Linked DNA regions of Ovis aries. The main gene of each other region encodes a partner of the protein of the gene in region 2 in a complex. Links are inferred from orthologs where the notes say so. Each region holds a gene or a part of one and is shown on either strand. Other genes may lie near its edges.

Region 1 (4,173 bases), on a different chromosome or scaffold from region 2:
AGGAGGCCATGAGGGGCAAGGAGCTTTTCAGAAGTTCGGCAAAGAATGAAACAGGGGTGTGGGGTGAAGGGAGAGGTCTTCAGTGGGCCTGGGTCTTTAGCCCTTGGTGGTTCTGGGAACCCAGCCGAGGCCTGTGGAGGGAAGGCTGTCTTCCTTAACCTCAGAGGGTGAGTCATCTTGGCCCAGCCCACTTCCCATCAGAGGTCTGGGTCCTTTAGGAAAGTCTTTTCTCACTCTGGTGAGGTTGAGGGCTCAAGGTTACCCCAACTCCCAATGATTAGCCCTTACATGATCAGGGTGAACCCCTGACCCTAATGGTTCATCACCTTCATTTTTCAAGGCAGTGCATGCTGGGAGAAAATTTGTTTTCCAAATTCTCAGTCCTTAGTGGTCTGACTACCTAAGTTAACAAACTGAATTGAGAACGTGCAAGAACAGTAGCACAAAACAATGTGAAAATAGGTTGCTATGGAGCCTTCAGGAATGAGGAAGATGATTCTAGAAAGAAGAGGCAAACAAGTTGCCTTCAAGGGTCTTACCACACTGAGCCTGTTGGGTCACCTCTGCCACCACTCCCACTTCACTGAGTCCAGTGATCAGACAGCAGTCAAATCTTTGTATTTTTACTTTATTATACAAAAAAAGGGAAAACAAAACTTCCACAGTTGGCCTTAAGCTTAGGCAGACACCTCTAAGCCATTCCCTCCCACCTCCCATGATACAAATTCAAGTTGTGGTTGTTGTTGAAACCTACAAAAACACTTCTTAAATATTAGAAAAAAACGGGGTTGGGGGGGAGAGCAGGGGTCCTCCCACCCCAGTCATCCCATCCCAGTGCCAAAATGCACTCAGAGTGACCTCTTACAGCACCCACACCCCCACCCCCACAGCTATGTTTGTACTGTAAGAATTTTTCAATTTTTAAAACAGGAAAAAAAAGTGCCCCAAAGTTGTTTTTAAATGAAAAACACATTCCACTAAAACACAACAGCGCAGGGGCACTGGAACAGGGAAATGGGGCTCTCTGCAGGGGCTCTTGAGAAGAAATAGAACCTATGAACCCCTGTACCTAATTCCAGAAGCAGGACAAAGAAAGGGGAGTGGGGAGTAGGGAGTGTCCCCCACTAGCTCCTCCCACCCCCAGCACCACATCCGAGAGGCAAAGCAGATTATCTACCTTCCTCTGTGAGCGGGACCCACCTTTCCCACCACACCTCCTAGACAAGAGTTCTTCCTCTTGCCTTTCATTCAGAGGGGGAGGGTGGAAAAGCACAAACCCCCAATTAAATAGGTCACTGACATGATTGTTTAAAAAAATTTTGATCAAAAGCAACAACAAAAATTAAACCCACAGAGACTAGGTGGCTTGGCTTTTTGAGAGTCTAGGAATCAGGGTTCCAAAATCTGGGGGATGGCTGGGAAGGGTTAGGACAGCTGTCAAAGCAGCTTTTGCAGACCTCTCCCTCAGCTGTGGGTTTGGGGAGATGGGGTGGGGAAGGGAGCTGACCTGAGAAATCAAAGGAAATGGGGGTGGGGTAGCTGGAGGATATGGGGGGCAGGCAGGAGGGGTGTCTAAGAGCTTCCAACACATCTCTTGAAGCCCAGGTTCAGAGCCGACGGCAGCTAGGTGACCCCTCAGATGAGCTGGAGACACCTTTCCCGCCAAATAAAATATTTAAGGTTCACCTAGTCTGTCCCCCTCCCCACTGTCCTGATGGATACTGGAGACTTGCTGTAGCGCCAATGGCCCTGGCTGAGGGAGACCAGCAGAGGAAGCACCAGAGTGGCTTCAGTACACCCGAACTGAATCAGAGATCAGGCAAAGCGGAAGATATGGAGAAAAGGGCCACCCCAACCTATCCCCACCAGGGTCAGCGTCTCCATAGCTCTCACAACCCTTTTACCTTCTCTTACACACACAAATACACGTGCCTTTGCACACATCCACAGGTGCACCCATGCTATGTACAGGCCACAGGCATACACACACGCACACACGCGCACACACACACACTTTTCCATACACATCAAGACCGTTTTAAAAAAGCCCCAAACCTACCCTCTAAACCCTCCCTCTCCCAGAAATGACAACAGAGACGGCAGCCGAGATCGGTAGGAAACGTCTCGTTGACAGCTCAGAGCTTAAAAAAAAAATATATACACATATATAAAAAACACTTCTGCCCCCTCCCCCCCGCCCCCGTGAGTGGGTCCAGGCAGCTCCTTCCCGCAGGGGGCAGGGAAGAAGAGGGCCATGGGGCAAGGCCTATTTCTTCATAGGCGCCAGCCCTCTTCTCCCATGTTCCCTGCCTCCAGTTCCAATGCAGGGATCCAGGCTGCAAGCCCCTCTGGAAAGAAAGGGGTCTTCCTCAAGCTTCCACCCTCCCTTGGGTTGGGCTGCAGGTGTAGGGGGCCTCACTGAACTCTTTGGGAACCCCGACCCACTCCCGGGTCCATTGTCCATGCCGGAAACCGCAAGTGCAGAAGAGGGGGTGGGCTGGACCAGTCCGGTGGTGGCTCAGTCTGATGGGTACGCTCCCTGGAGGGCCCCCCAGGGCTGATGTCTCTGAGGCCGCAGAGTTCTGGCCTGGGCGCCTCCAGCGCCTACCCCCCACCGTGTTTTGTTTTGTTTTAAAAAAAAAAAAAAAGAAAGAAAGAAAGTGGGGGAGGCCAAGGGGCAGGGGACAGAACATGGGGGAGAAACAAAGGTGTTCAGCCGGAGAAGGGAGCCCCGGGTGGGGCTGAGCCTCAGTTGGAGTCAGAGTCCGAGGAGTCCCCCGAGGAGGAGGAGCTGGAGCTGCTGCCCTCGGACTCGTTGTCCTCATCCTCGTCATCGTCCTCGTCGTCGTCCTCATCCTCATCGTCCTCCTCATTCTGGGCGACAAGGAAAGTATGGTCACCAGGGGGCCGTCCTGGCAGCCCCTCCGCCCCGCCAACCATGCCCCATCCACCCCACCTCATCCCCATCCTCGCTCTCATCCTCGCTGCTGGACTCGGAGGAGTCCCCGCCATCCTCAGAGGAGTCCCCGTTCTCATCATCTTCCTCCTCCTCATCCTCTTCGTCTTCATCCTCATCCTCTTCATCATCATCCTCAGACTCCTGGGAGGGATGGAAGCACATCGGTGGTCCCTGCCATGCCACTCAAGGCACCTCAAATCCCCCCACCCAGCCCCCCGTTCTGGGAGGGGCTCCTTACCGACTTAGATTGCAGGGCAGTCCGACTGGACTTGGGGTTTGGGCCTCGCAGCTTGGTCATGTTCTTACGTTTCTGTAGGAGGGGATGGGGACATGGGCAAAGGGAGTAGCCAGGAGTTCTGTACTGCTCCCCCCAGAAAGTGAAAGTCGTGTCCAACTCTTTGTGACCCCACGGACTTGGGCTCCTCTGTCCATGGGATTCTCCAGTCCAGAATAATGGAGTGGGTAGCCACTGCCTTCTCCAGGGGATCTTCCCAATCCAGGGATCAAACCCAGATCTCCCGAACTGCAGGCGGATTCTTCACCCTCTGAGCCACCAGGGAGCAACCCCCTAGCCCCCACCCCCACCACAAGTTCCCTCCTTATCCCAACAGCACCCTGCTCCCAGACTCACATTAGAGATGTACTCTTTATATGCCGCACGTTCCTGGGGAGACAGACTCTGGGGGAGACAGAGGAGGAGGTGAGGGCGGGAACATGACTCAAACTACTGCTGACTGAGCACACTGGTCAAGCACCAGGCATCATCATGCCACCTGCGCCCATCCCAGTCTCCTTGGGTCTCTGCAGAGAACCCTAAGGACCTGAGAACACAGCTCAGTATTTCTGCTTAAGATGCTCCAAAGCCTTTTCTAAGCTACCCCGTCCTAAGACTGCTTTCATGTCTGTCCTGTGCTCTACCCAAATGGAGGCTCCAGAGTCAGGGCCTTCCTCAACTCAGAGAAGCACCCCCGGAAGACTGCCCCAGAAGCCAAGCCCAGAGCCACTGCCAAGGCAATCTGGGGCTCACCAAATTGTCTGGAACCCTTAACCCCTGCTATTCCCCCTGGGTCCTTGGCCAACCCACCTGGGTGGCTGGGGAGGACACTGGTGACTCTCCCCACTTTACAGATCCGACTGCTCAAGCAAGGCACAGAAGGGGAGCTCAGAGGCTAGAGGCTGAGCCAGAGTCTTGGAGACATCCCCTGGTCCCGGCT
Region 2 (4,241 bases):
CTGTCTGGCCACTGCACAGGGACCAGGCATGGGAGGGGGGTCTTGGGAGCGAGTCAGGTGGGGTCTGGCAGGACGTCTGCCGACAGGGCAGGGTGGGGCCAGAGAAGGGTGCTGGGCCTGGTCTCTGCAGAGACCACCCATCAGACGCCTGGGCAGGTGGCCTCAGGAAGGCCGCCTCCCTCCTGCCCTCTAAGCTGCTGGAGGCACCAGGGCCTGCCTGAGCCCCGCCAAAGCAACAGCTTCTGGTTTGAAGCCTCAGCCTAAGCTGGACCGCGATGAGCTGCCCCCCACCCCCGCCCCCGCCAGACAGCTCTCTAGTTGGTTTTCAGGGCAACGCATTTAACGCCTGGGCACTGAGAGCCCATTCAGAACAGATGCCCAGGAGAGCTGCCTCAGGGCACCTCCCACCTGCTGTGGGGTCTCAGGGGTGGAGTGGAGCTGCCTGCCTGCTGTGGGTGGAGCCTGGAAGCTTCTGGCGGCAGCAACCTCAGGATGCGCAGCTGTGACCACAGGGAGCACTCCACTCAGAGCGCAGAAAGTCTGGAGCATTAGATACCGGGGGAGGAAGTGGGGACCTCTGTTCTCGGCTGAAGGGCACCCAGAACAGCGCTGTGGGACGCCGGTGCCCCCACCCCAAGCACTCGTGACATCTGTGTCTTCTGTGGGGCCAAGCGCCCACAGAGGAAGGGAGCCCCGTGCTGAGCACTCCCGTATGGAAGGCCCACCCTCCTCCTGGGCCGTGCGGGCCTCGGGCACCAGGTAGAACCCCAGGAACCGGCGGGGCAGCCCACAAACCCAGACCAACTGTTAGGACTTCCTGGCAGTCCTCAGAAACATTTACTAGACAGTTCTTTCCAGGGAGGAAGACCCACGCCAACAGAGCCGTGGGCGGGCGTGGCTTCCGGCGCCCCACACCCCAGGGGAACAAGCCATGGGTGAGACGCCCCCTGCGGCATCGCGGGCTCACTTCTCCAGGGGAGCGTAGTTGAGCAGCTTCTCGATCAGGTCCACGTGGGCAAGCAGCATGCGGCGGCAGCAGTAGCGCTTCAGGCCCAGCGCGTCCAGGGCGTCCCTGCAGGTGGGGAGAGATCTGGCTGCAGCCTGCTCCTCCCGGCAGACAGAGGGCCTCGCCCGGGGGGAGCAGCCCCCCTCACCTCCCAGAGACACGGCCCCAGTCACCCTCAAAGCCTCCTGTGTGTGGGCACCAGCGTGGCACCCATAAAAGGGGCGGCCGCTTGGGCAGCCCTGGCCTGGGGCATCTCGGGGAGGAGTCTGGGGCAGGCTGCCAGCATTCACTCGCACTGTGGTCATTCCAGCAGCCTCCTCGAAGCCTGGTGCAGATACTACGGCCGTCCGTTGCTTCCCTATCCACCCAACACAGCTACACGGAGAACCTCACCTGCTACCACACTCCAGGTCCCAGAGGTTCACACTTTGATAAGGATGGGGCTGTCCACACAAGGACCAAAGTCAGACTCTTGTCTAGGGTAAACTCAGACAAGTAAGGCGGTAACTGCAGTGCCAAGGGGCAAACACGGAAAAGGGACCCCACAAAAGCCTGATGATGACGGCTATGTGATCAGAAGCTTGTCCTATGTACTAAAAAAGCCCGTGAGTCTGCAAGACACGGTTTGTTGTTCAGCCGCTCGGTCGTGTCCGTGACGCCATGGACTGCAGCTCGCTGAGCTCATGTTCTCCTCTATCTCCCAGAGTTTGCTTGAACTCCTGTCCATTGAGCTGCTGATGCTACCTAACCGCGTCCTCCTCTGCCGCTCCTTTCTCCTTTCGCCTTCCATCTTGCCCAGCATCAGTGTCTTTGAGGACACGGGGTGGGCCTAATAGCAGGGAGAACTTAGGGAGCTGACGGACAGAGGTGGCCAGGGGCCTATCTGCGGTGGAGGCGTGGAGCCAGAATACTCGAGTCCCCAGACACCAGCGCTTGACAACTAGCTCCCCTCGTCTGCCTGAACTGGGGGGTGGGAGACGCTTTCCTGAGAGCAGGTCTGGAGAACAGGGCTGGCAAAGGCTCCGGGAATAAAAGCCTTGCCGGCGTCACCTGGGATCTGATGAACGTCCCTTGCTCCTGACCTGGAGACCAAGACCCCTGACTGCCGCCTCAAGACCCCAACCCCTCAAGCCTGGATCCTCGACAGCCGCCCGAGACGCCGACGCCGCAGGCTAGGCCCCCTTGACCCTGCCCCGGGCCCCGCAGGCCGGGGCCCCCGTGTCCTCGCTCCGAGCCCCGCAGGCTGGGAAACCCTCCCCTTAGGCCGGGCGCCCCTGTCCTCGCCCCGGGCCCCGCAGGCCGGGCCCCCGTCCCGCCGCCCCGGGCCCCGCAGGCTGGGAAACCCTCCCCTTAGGCCGGGCGCCCCTGTCCTCGCCCCGGGCCGCGCAGGCTGGGAAACCCTCCCCGCCCCGGGCCCCGCAGGCCGGCGGCCGGGAGCGCGCCCCTCACCCCTCGGTGTACTCGGCCTGCAGCAGGCCCAGGTAGGCCTCCCACTTGTTGCCGACGATCTTGCCACACGTGAAGCAGCGAACGGGGATGATCATGGCGGCGGCGCGGGAGCTAGAAGCTTCGCGGCCCGGCGGCCCGACGCCCGGATCCCCCGGCGCTTCCGCCCCGGCGTGCCCATGGCGCGCCCATGGCGCGGGGGTGCCGGCCCGGCCCGCCCCGTGCACCTCCCCGCGGCCCCGGCGCCGCCGGCATCCGCCTCCCGCCGCGACGGCGGCTCCTCCGGCGGGCGCGGGCCCGGGGGCCGGGGCCCGGGGGCCGGGGCCGGGGGCGGGGCCCGGCGGGAGCCCCCCGCCCGCGCCTTGGTACGTCCCGGCCTACGGCGTCCGCGCGGGGCCGCAAGGGCTCGGCGGCGGCGTTCGCGTTCCTCGTGCCCGGCCGACCGACTCCGCGCGGCGGGCGCGAGGCAGGTACAGCGCCCCTGCCGGGCCGCGGGCGGAGTGCGGCCGGGCCCGCGCGAACTGGGGCCCCGAGCGCAGAGCGCGAGCCGCGTTTCAGCAACAAGTTGCGAGCCGGGTCTGGGGCGCGGAGAGCGGCCGGAGGGGCCGGGCAGGGGGCGGCCTCTCCGCCTGGGGCCGCTGCCCGCGGGCACTCGGGGGTCTCTGCGCAGAGTCCGAGGGACCCTCGAGGTCGCCGCCTGGCCGGGTCGCCTGCACAGTAACGGTCCCGGCCCGGTAGCTGCCCGTATCCCTGCAGGCGGGCGGCGCGGGGCGACCCAGCCGGTGGGGGCTCCGGCCGTCGCCGCGGTCAGCTTGGCCCCCCCTCCTGCCTTCTTCCCGGGGGAGGCGCTGGCGGCCCAGGCTCCAGTCCGCGCTCGGCAGGGGCGGGCGCCAGTGACCCGGGAGCGCCGGCTCTGAGGGTCGGGAGGGCACTCGGGGTGTCTTTTGAGCTGAGACTTAAAGAGGGAGCCGGACAGACACCCGTCCGTGCGGGACAGAAGCTGTGGGAGCTGGAGGCGGTGGGGGTTTAAAGGGAGCGGGGGGGGGGCGGGGGCGGGGGCTGTGTCTCGGGAAGTGGCGAGAGGTGAGCCCCCTGATCCTGTGACTGGCGGCTGGGAGAGGGCTGTGTGCACTGAGAAGCAAGGAAGGCTCCCTGGAGGAGGCGAGCTTTGGGCTGAGGAGGGTGGGCTAGGCACCTAGGCAGGGTCTCCTCATATTTGCTGGCCTGGGGCGTCAGGGTCTCTGGTTGGGGTGGGGGGTGGGGGTGGGCCCACCATGTTGGGTCCCAGGCTTTAGCTCAGAGTCCACCTGGGGTGGGTGGTGGACTCTGACTGTAAGTCAAGGGGCTGGGAGTGGAGGTCCCAGGGAGGCTGGCCAGCACTTCTGCGTCTGGAGTTTGGCTCTGGCCACCCTCCCCAGCGGGGTTCGCCGTCCCCCACCCTGCCACGTGCGGAGCCACGAGCAGAAGCCACTTCCCTGCCCTGCCTGCCCCCCCTTCCCAAGCTGACTGGACGCACATCCTGTCCCCGGCTGGGATGGGGCCTTGAGTCACAGTGGCCTGGGGTGGACCCAGGCTCAGCTGTAGAGGCAGCTGCGTCTGCAGAGGTGAGGGGGATAGGCGGGAGGCTCTTCTAGAGCGGGGGTGGGTGCGTGCAGGCTTCCTGGGGGAGGGCCCCGTGGTCCACCGCACCTCGTTCTGGCGCAGTGGCTGTTTACTCCCAGAGACTGGGGGGCGGCGGGAGAGCCAAGTGGACATTCCTGGAATTCCGAGAACTGCGTGTGGATTGAGG

What was found. The genes of interacting proteins can lie anywhere in the genome.
Region 1: POLR2L (region 2) and UBTF share a complex: the UniProt entries of both Homo sapiens proteins name them as parts of the pol I pre-initiation complex. The link is inferred for Ovis aries from reciprocal best matches to the Homo sapiens genes POLR2L and UBTF.

Annotation. Positions count from the first base shown.
Region 1 is NC_056064.1:43,759,205-43,763,377, forward strand, and holds the end of UBTF (nucleolar transcription factor 1), read right to left. Parts: intron 3,639-4,173; coding exon 3,591-3,638; intron 3,270-3,590; coding exon 3,198-3,269; intron 3,101-3,197; coding exon 2,957-3,100; intron 2,875-2,956; coding exon 2,749-2,874; 3' UTR 613-2,748; downstream 1-612. UniProt on the Homo sapiens protein: Recognizes the ribosomal RNA gene promoter and activates transcription mediated by RNA polymerase I (Pol I) through cooperative interactions with the transcription factor SL1/TIF-IB complex.
Region 2 is NC_056074.1:46,914,661-46,918,901, reverse strand, and holds POLR2L (DNA-directed RNA polymerases I, II, and III subunit RPABC5), read right to left. Parts: upstream 2,585-4,241; 5' UTR 2,551-2,584; coding exon 2,456-2,550; intron 1,073-2,455; coding exon 964-1,072; 3' UTR 815-963; downstream 1-814. UniProt on the Homo sapiens protein: DNA-dependent RNA polymerase catalyzes the transcription of DNA into RNA using the four ribonucleoside triphosphates as substrates.